Oryctolagus cuniculus: one gene and its partner. The protein of the gene in region 1 purifies or fractionates together with the protein of each later gene. This does not show direct contact. Links are inferred from orthologs where the notes say so. Each region holds a gene or a part of one and is shown on either strand. Other genes may lie near its edges. The genes, in order: CASP10 and FASLG.

The links.
Region 2: the proteins of CASP10 (region 1) and FASLG purify together in Homo sapiens (co-immunoprecipitation; 3 studies listed by BioGRID and IntAct, with this or other methods). This does not show direct contact. The link is inferred for Oryctolagus cuniculus from reciprocal best matches to the Homo sapiens genes CASP10 and FASLG.

Annotation. Positions count from the first base shown.
Region 1 is NC_091434.1:38,828,652-38,832,895, forward strand, and holds the start of CASP10 (caspase-10), read right to left. Parts: upstream 2,991-4,244; 5' UTR 2,684-2,990; intron 671-2,683; 5' UTR 664-670; coding exon 326-663; intron 1-325. UniProt on the Homo sapiens protein: Involved in the activation cascade of caspases responsible for apoptosis execution. Recruited to both Fas- and TNFR-1 receptors in a FADD dependent manner. May participate in the granzyme B apoptotic pathways.
Region 2 is NC_091438.1:1,339,975-1,344,508, reverse strand, and holds the start of FASLG (tumor necrosis factor ligand superfamily member 6), read right to left. Parts: upstream 2,804-4,534; 5' UTR 2,397-2,803; coding exon 2,037-2,396; intron 1,479-2,036; coding exon 1,430-1,478; intron 1-1,429. UniProt on the Homo sapiens protein: Cytokine that binds to TNFRSF6/FAS, a receptor that transduces the apoptotic signal into cells. Involved in cytotoxic T-cell-mediated apoptosis, natural killer cell-mediated apoptosis and in T-cell development.

The DNA of each region.
Region 1 (4,244 bases):
ACGGATGACCCATGCACTTGGGTCCCTCCTACCCTCCCACCTCATATCAGAGACCCAGATGAAGTTCCTGGCTCCTGGCTTCAGCGTGGTCCAGCCCTAGATCTTAGCGGGCATTTGGGGAGTAAACCAGTGGATAGAAGATCTCTCTCTCTCTCTCTCTCTCTCTCTCTCTCTCCCCCTCCTACCCTCCCTCCCTCTGACTTTCAAATATCTGACTTTCAAATAAATAAATAAACAGACCTTTCACAGCCGAAACAAAGCCCAATGGCTAGACCGAACATGAGACAGAAACCCCTCCTCCCAGGCGGTCTTAGTCCCAGCTCACCTGAACAGGGGCACCTTCCTTCTCTCGGGCAGCAAACGCTCCACTTCCTCTTTGGTGTACCTGAGGTGCTGCAGCAGTTTGATCTGCTTGGTGATGTAGAGGAGTTCTGCCAGGACGAAAGGGTCCTCTTCTTGCAGCAGCTTGTACGTCAAGAGGAGTTCAAAAATATCCAAGGCGGAGCTACACTTCTCCAGCTTCTTTTTGGAGACCAAGTCCAGGCAAAGAAACTTCAGGCTCTCCACTTCCTGGCCCCCCAGGTGCGAATCGATCGTAAAAAGTATCCTACGAAAGTTTTCCTCATCTGAACTGGAACCCAAGCTTTGATCTCCAGATGCCATGGCTGGCCTGAAAGAGACAGAGACGGAGCAGGAGGTTCAGGAGTGAGGACACAGGGCACCCTGACTTCCTGGCCCCTCCCTCAATCCTGGCCGCTTCTGTTCCAGGCATTAGGCTTTCCCAGAAGTGCTGAGAAGGAAAACTCACTGTGAGGCTGCTTCAAGAACCAGCATCCCAGAAAACTGGCCCCTGGCACTTGCAAGTTCCCCTAGAAGGCTTACAGGGAGTTGTTATTTAGAACTCAATATACTCTGATTTCTTCTTTTTCAGTTTTATTTATTTATTTCAAGGCCAGAATTGAGAGAGAGAGAGAGAGAGAGAGAGAGAGAGAGAGAGAGAGAGAATGAATCTTCTATTCACTGGTTCACTCCCCTAGATGGCCATAATAGCCAGGACTGGGCTAGGCCAAAGCCAGGACCCAGGAGCTTCATCTGGGTCTCCCATGTGGGTACAGGAGCCCAAGCACTTGGGCCATCTTCCACTGTTTTCCCAGGCCATTCCCAGGGAGCTGGATTTAAAGTGGAGCAACTGGGACATGAACCAACACCCGTATGGGAGGCCCGCATTGCAGGCGGTGGCTTTAGCTGCTACACCACCAACACCAGCCCCCATACCCTGATTTTTTTTTTTTAATTTTTTGACAGGCAGAGTGGACAGTGAGAGAGAGAGAGACAGAGAGAAAGGTCTTCCTTTGCCATTGGTTCACCCTCCAATGGCCGCTGCGGCCAGCGCGCTGAGGCCAGCGCACCGCGCTGGTCCGAAGGCAGGAGCCAGGTGCTTCTCCTGGTCTCCCATGGGGTGCAGGGCCCAAGCACTTGGGCCATCCTCCACTGCACTCCCTGGCCACAGCAGAGAGCTGGCCTGGAAGAGGGGCAACCGGGACAGAATCCGGTGCCCCGACCGGGACTAGAACCTGGTGTGCCAGCACCGCAAGGTGGAGGATTAGCCTAGTGAGCCGCAGTGCCGGCCCTGATTTCTTTTAAATCAAAGTGTCCCCAGTGAGACATGGCCAAGGGCATCTCTCAGGCCTCCAGCCTCGTTGGAGCTCTTCACTTCAAAATTCATTTCCACAAAATGGCAGACACAGCCCAAAGGATCTGTGCTTTAAGCGTTAGACATAAAGCGAGTGCATGACAGTATTTGTTACAACCTAACTCCCGACTGCTAACTGTAACAGGACAGGCCTGTCTCATAGAAGAGGAAGCTGTAACCCTAAACCCCAAAAGGAAAAGCTGATTTTAGACCAGACCTGCTCGAATCAGTGTAGAAAGTTACACATTACCTAAGCAAGGTGTCTACCTGGCCAGTTTGTCAACTCTGGAGTTCTCTGTACTAAACTTCATTCTAAGCAGAGGAGCAACGCATTGATTAAGTTTCCACCACAGTAGTCATTCTGAAAGGATGGGGGCATCTATTCACCATGCCGGACTTGACTGCTTTCAGAAACAGAAAAAAAATACTTGCTAAGGGAAGGAGAGCAAAGCAAAACCCAAAACCTCAGCCACAAAAGGCGGTTATATGGAGGGACCCAGAGATAACAGAAACTTTCTAGGCTCCCACCTGACTTTCTCAAACTTCAGGCAATGCACATATATTACTTCTGTTGTTAAATAAAGCAAACACACACACACACACAGAGTCTCTTCCAGTGTGATCATCCTGGGAGTCCTCTCTTCTAACAGCCCTGAGGTGAGATGATTGGTTTCTGATAGCTGCCTTCCTCTCTCGGTCTTACCCGGTTGCTTTGCAGTTGCTTAAAGTTCCTGATCTCCAACTTTAGTGAATCTACGAGATTTTGTCCCTGCCTGTGGATCAACATATCCCTTCAGGTAAAGGGCTGGATTAGAAACTTCCTGGTGTTTTAGTTGATTTCAATGAACTTTCATTTTCCCTGCATGTCCGAGGACCCGGCGCCCAGATCGTGCCATTGCGGTCAAGAGTTTGGGCGAGTTGCTAAGGACAGGAGGCAAAGGGAAGTTCAGAGTGGGAGCCCCCAGTGCGGTGGGGTGGAGGTTTACATACCTGCTTCCGTTCAAGTTCCACTAATCCTCTGAAGGTCAGTGGTGCGCAGGGAAACAGCCTGAAAACGAAGCCGGCAAGAAGTCAGAATTCTCGGTGTGCTCCGTGGTCACCAGACGCCCCATCGGCGGGGGAAGAGATCCCGGCTGTGCCACTGAAGACTGAATCATTTGCACTGGGTAACTTGGTATGAATTTCCTGCTGATGTCATCACTGCCTCTCTGCTTTCTCCCCGCCCCCCGGGTTAAAATAACCCTGGCAAACAGCGCTCCCCTAAAGGCAGTCACCTGCCTTTCCCATTGTAAAGCTCGGGATGTTTCTCAAGAGGCCACTAAGTGCTGCCACCGCTGGGCGCCGCTGTGCCCAAAGAAGGGAACGTGTCACTATTTTTAACCCTTTCCTCCAAACTCATGTAACCCGTAAATCAAACCAAAAGGCTCATGAGATACTCTTCAGTCATCTTAATCCTCTCTGAAGTCTATGTGCAAATCAAGAAATAAAATTTCTGGGAGTGAGAATGGCAGACTCTAAGTCCACTTGGAGATATCTGCAAGGCAAACAAGTCTGGCAGGTGTCTGCTCTGCCAACACACTCAGTCCAGTGGAGAGAGAGGTTTGAAAGATATTATTTCTTTTTTTAAGATTTGTTTATTTATTTGAAAGGCAGAGCTAGAAAGAGAGAGATAGTCCATTGGCTGGGTCACTCCCCCAAGAGACTGCAGCGGCCAGAGCTGAGCCAGTAGCCAGTAGCCAGTAGCTTCAGCCCGGTCTCCCACATGAGTGACAGGAGCCCGAGCACCTGGGCCATCTTCTACTGCTTTCTCAAGTGCATTAGCAGGGAGCCGGGTCGGAAGTGGAGCAGCTGGGACTCAAACTGGTTCCCAAGTGGGATGTGGATGCTGCAGGTGGCACCACTTCTGATCCAGCTCCCGGCACCCACGTGGGAAACCCAGAAGAAGCTTCTGGTTCCTGGCTTCAGGTCAGCCCCATTCCTGCCATTACAGCCAAATGGGCAATGAACCAGTAGATGGAAGATCCGCCTCTGTAACTCTACCTTCCAATTAAAAAAAAAAATCTTAAAAAAATGCAGAGTTTTGGGAAGATGTACAGAATCTGTAAAAAGGTGTTTTATCTCTAGAAAGAAGCCTGGGAAATGATGCATTAATTAGTAAATATGTGAAAGCATCATTTCCATATCCACCATCCAGAAAACTACTATGTCTGAGAAAGACAAGTCCTGGGGCCGGCGTGTGGCCCATGGGGGTTAAGGCCCTGCATGAGACACTGATATCCCACATCCAGCGCCAGTTCAACTCCTGACTATTCTGCTTCTGACTCTGCTTCCTGCTAACGGCCTGGGAAGGCTGTAGAAGATGGCCCAAGTGCTTAGGACCCTGCACCTGAGTGGGAGACCAAGAGGTGGTTCCTGGCTGTTGTGGCCATTTAGAGTAAACCAGCAGGTGGAGAATCTCTCTCTCTCTGTCTCTGTCTCTCTCTCTTTCAAATGAACAAGTAAATAAAAAAAATTTTAAAAACAAATGTAGGCAGAAGAAAGGAAGGAATAA
Region 2 (4,534 bases), on another chromosome or scaffold:
ATTTCTGATCTGTCTGGGTTGATGCAGAGAAGATAAGAGTTTAGTGGGGTAGGTAGACCTGACTCATCTGTTCATTTAACTTTTAACCAATAAAACGCCTCCAGAGAGTGGGTGAGAGATGAGTAATGAGGTACCTGTTTCCCTAGCCACAGTCCCCTGATTTTCAAAGTGACATTAGAAGTCCTCCAGAGGCTGCGTTTTTCTAAAAAGTGTTTCCACTCTGTGCCCCTCCTGAGTTTCTACCACATCAGAACAAGGGGCCAGAGCATCTCAGTGATGGCTCCTACATGAGTTTATGCTCCAGGGAAGTCGCTGACCTGGGCCACCTGCAGTAGGCTATCCTGAGATTGAAACTGGCAGCACTTAATGGATGGCTAGCCCTGCCTGCTCTCTTCTTCCACATTTCTAAGGAAAAAAATTACCTACTGATTTTGCAGAAGTGTCCTGCTTTCCATTTCTTTCTCATCCCCTGGCAATTACAGTCAAGCAAGAGTTTCTGTCTTTCCATGAGGCACCAGTCCACATGCTAGAAAGTCCTGGAAGTGCCAAGGCAGCAGGAGCCTACATCCCTTCTAGCCCCAGCGCCACCCAGTAGTCATGGGCACATCACCCAATCTGTCTGATGTTTTGTTTCTCTTCTGAGAAATGAAATGGGTGGAACTGATGATCTTTAAGATCCCTCTCAGTTCTAACCAAGTTTAAAAAGTCAATTAATCTTGGTTTAATACAAATGGAGCAAATCCTAAAATATACTTGTCCACAGTGTCTAAATCTATGCTCTGAAATTTAATGAAGCCAGAATTCAACACTTTTACCTTTTTCTTGTACTGGATTTCATACAAAGGACTTTCCTTTATTGTCAAAAACATCTCATAGGTAAAGTGGAATAATCCTTTGAATATGGGTTAAATCTTCTCCCAGGCCTCCCCATGACTTCAAAGGAACCATGCTATGTGGGAAATTGTCCACTTATCAAAAGCTTAGCTAAATCTTGTACAATGTCTTAAATGAAGCTTGACTCTTGAGTGATCTCTTTTCTGGAGTTGAGAAGAGGAGAGGACATTTCCCAGAAGTTTCTCTCTTTGCCCATACCTAACTAGGACTCCTGAGGAAGGAGATGGGCCTGCAACCAGCTGCCCAAATGGCAGGGCTCCAGGATTATGTATGTGTGTCTCATCCCAAAGTCAAGTCAAAAGTATTTTGCATTGTGTGAAACACTCAGCTACACTGATTTTGAGCAGTGAAATTCACTTCATATTTTAAAAGATGCTCAAGAAACCACACTGACCAGGGGTTCAGAATTGTCCAAGACTCTTCTCATAATATTCACAAGCCCAGGAATGGGATAGGATTCAAGGTATCCCCCCAACAATGTTCAGTGCTAAGGATTATCTTTGGAAATTCAAATCACATGAATAAAAGGACTCACCTGTTTGCTTCTCCATAGATGATGATGCTGTGTGCCTTTGACTGAAGGACTACCGGAAGAAAGAGAAAAGATGTATGATAAATAGGAAGCTCTTTAATCAGTGGAGGAATTGCCAAATAAGCCAGCCCCCGAAAGAGATTCCAAACTCCTCAGAACCTTTCCTAACTCAGACTTTAGCCAAACAAGTTTGTCTCATTGTCCCTCAGTTTTGTCATTTGAAATGGTACCAGATTTTTTAAAATGTTTTCAAGGAAATTCAGTCTGGTCATTTGAATACATTCACTTCTAAGCAGACTCAAAGTTTTTTTTTTATTTCTTGAATCACTAGATCTGAGGTCAGTGGCTTCACAGACTGACATGACAACTGAAAAAGGCAAAACCATATGGCTCAAATTCTTTACAAGACAGAAAATACCTCTTCATTCATAGGACCCTCCATTTCTCTACCTATAGAATAGAACGACAAGAACAATCCCTTTCCAAGACAAACAGTAAAGCTTGAAAAGCACTTTGCAAGCAAGACAGTGGTCCGGGTAGACCCCAGGAGGCTCCATCCCACAGCAGCAGAGCCCTCCTCCCACCCCAGTGATTGCTGGACACAGCTTACCTCTCTGAGCTCGGCCAACTCCTTCTGCAGGTGGTAGAGCTGGAACATCCCCAGCCCCAATCCAACCAGGGCCACCAGGACCATGAAAAACATCAGAAGGAGGCAGAGGCCTGTGCTGTGGTCCTTCCTCTTCTTCAGGGGTGGTGGGGGCAGCGGGGGCAGTGGGGGCAGCGGGGGCAGTGGTGGTGGTGGTAGCGGTGGCGGCGGCGGTGGCAGTGGTGGTGGTGGCCTTCTTTGACCAGGCCTTTCAGGTACAGAGGATGGACAGGGGAGAACTGACCCTGGAGGGGCCCAGGGAGAGCTGGCAGTGCTGTCCACCCAGTAGATTTGGGGATATGGATAACTGAAGGGCTGCTGCATGGCAGCCAGGGACTCCCAAGGATTTTACTTCTCAGTCCTGTGGAGGCTGCAATGTCGAAGAAGGAACTCCTGCTGCTCACTGTTAAGAGAGGAACAGCCAGCTCTCGCTTTATAGAGTTTCCACACCAAGGGAAACACCAATCAATCTCTCTCTCTCTCTCATCTTCTCTTGCTAGTTCTCAGAGAGACACCCACTCACCTTATATCTGCAGCTGAGAAGCCTCAAGAAGCTCAGAGCCAACCCCTGGAAGTTTCCGCCCACAACTTTCTGATGAAAGCCCCCGGAGCCACAGCTGCCGTGGCTGCGCTACCTGAAAAGGCAGGGAGCCGTGACCGCCTTCCTCGGGCCTGCAGAGCAGGGCAGCACTGGGCGCAGTGCTGGCGCAGGGAGAGTGGCGCTGAGCGGGGAGACTGGAGTCACTTGCAAGAGGAAATCATCCCCCTCCCGCATCCCTTCCCCACACCAAGCACTGTTTACCCGAACCCTGCAAATCACCATAATTTACAGATTAGACCCTGCCCCGCCCACTCTAGAGATTAGATCAGATATGCTTTGTGGATCTCACAGCCTAGCTCTGTTTTTACTTCTTGATGATTTGTTTCTCATTTGTAAAATCAAGACAGTCCACATTAAAATACCTATTTTCATTCTGTTGTAAATATTTTTAAGGCCATCTCCACAAATTCAGTCAGCTGGAGGTGAGGAGCAAGTGTCCCCAGGAATGAGACACAGGTGACCAGGTAGCCCAACCTCCACCCCCAAGGTCCCTCCACCCTGTACTGTGTTTCCCACACCACCTCACCTGTGAAATGGCTTTCTGGCCCCTGTAGGCAGCCCTGTTCATAGCTGCTGTTATGTTTACTAGAATTGCTTGAATTTCAGATCAACAAATAAGCTTCAGGGTATGTATGTCCTAAACAATGCAAGAGTTGTACTAAAATGTTATTCATTGTTTATCTGAAATTCAAATTTTAAAGGGTGTCCTTTTTTTAACTTTGTTTTTTGCTAAAGATGGCAACTGTGCCTGGGCTATGACCTCACCCTTTCTTTTGGTCTCAAATACCATTAATATGCCAATAACTTCCAAGTACTCAGCCTCACTCTTAATCATTCTCCCATAAAAACTGTATAAAATTTCCACAAATCTTCAATTTCTGTTCTTTTGAAGATGTCTACTTTTCAGTTTCATTAGTTTCTACATCACACTGTGAGATTTCTGTGACTGTCGTTCTGGCTCTCTCACGTGGACCACGTCAATACCAAATGTACAAGGGGTTTTCAAGAAGTTCATGGAAAATGTGTACAATGAAAACTCTATTAATGAATTTCAAAATTGTATTGCATCAGAGAGTGGGGAAGGAGGGAGAGAGAGAGAGAGAAAGAGGAAGTTTTCATCTTCCAGATTCACTCCCAAGTGCCTACAATAGCTGGGACTGGGCATGGCTGAAGTCAGGAGTTGGGAACTCAATCCAAGTCTACCATATGGTGACAGGAACTGATGCAACAAGGACAGGAGCCTCAGCCACTTTAGGTTCTTGTTACCCTGTCTTCTTTCAAGAGAGGAGTTCAGTCTCCTTCCCTGTATTGTCCCCCCCCCCCCCCCCCCCCCCCGCATTCTTCCCCAGGTTTGGAAGCCAGTGGGCCAAACCTGAAGAACCAATAGGGAGAAACTCACCTCGGCCTACTGCCCCCAGCCCCACCCCAGCCCACCTAAGTTATAAACAGGCCCAGCCTGCTAGGGTCTGGGCTTCTGCCACGTGTTCCATCTGTGAGCTTGATGGCAGTTTGTCAACCTCTGTGAGTTTATTTTCTCTGAATAAATTTGGTCTGGCTGCGAGTTTGTACCCTGTCTCCTCTCTGTTCTGTGGCCCCCTTTTCCTTACATTTGGTGCCTTGTGTCAGGAGCCACCCATCTGCATTCTTTTCCTTACAGGAACCCACTCACTTGAGCCATCACTGCTACCTCTCAGGGACAGCATCAGCAGGCAGCTGCACTCAGGAGCTGGAGTCGAGTATTGGATCTGGTGGGGGACGTGAGTATCTAAATCAGTGTCTTAACTTCTAGGCCCATTGTCTGTCTTGCACCTAAATAAATTTATCTTTAAATTCCATTTTTTCAAGAACTTTCTGAAGTATC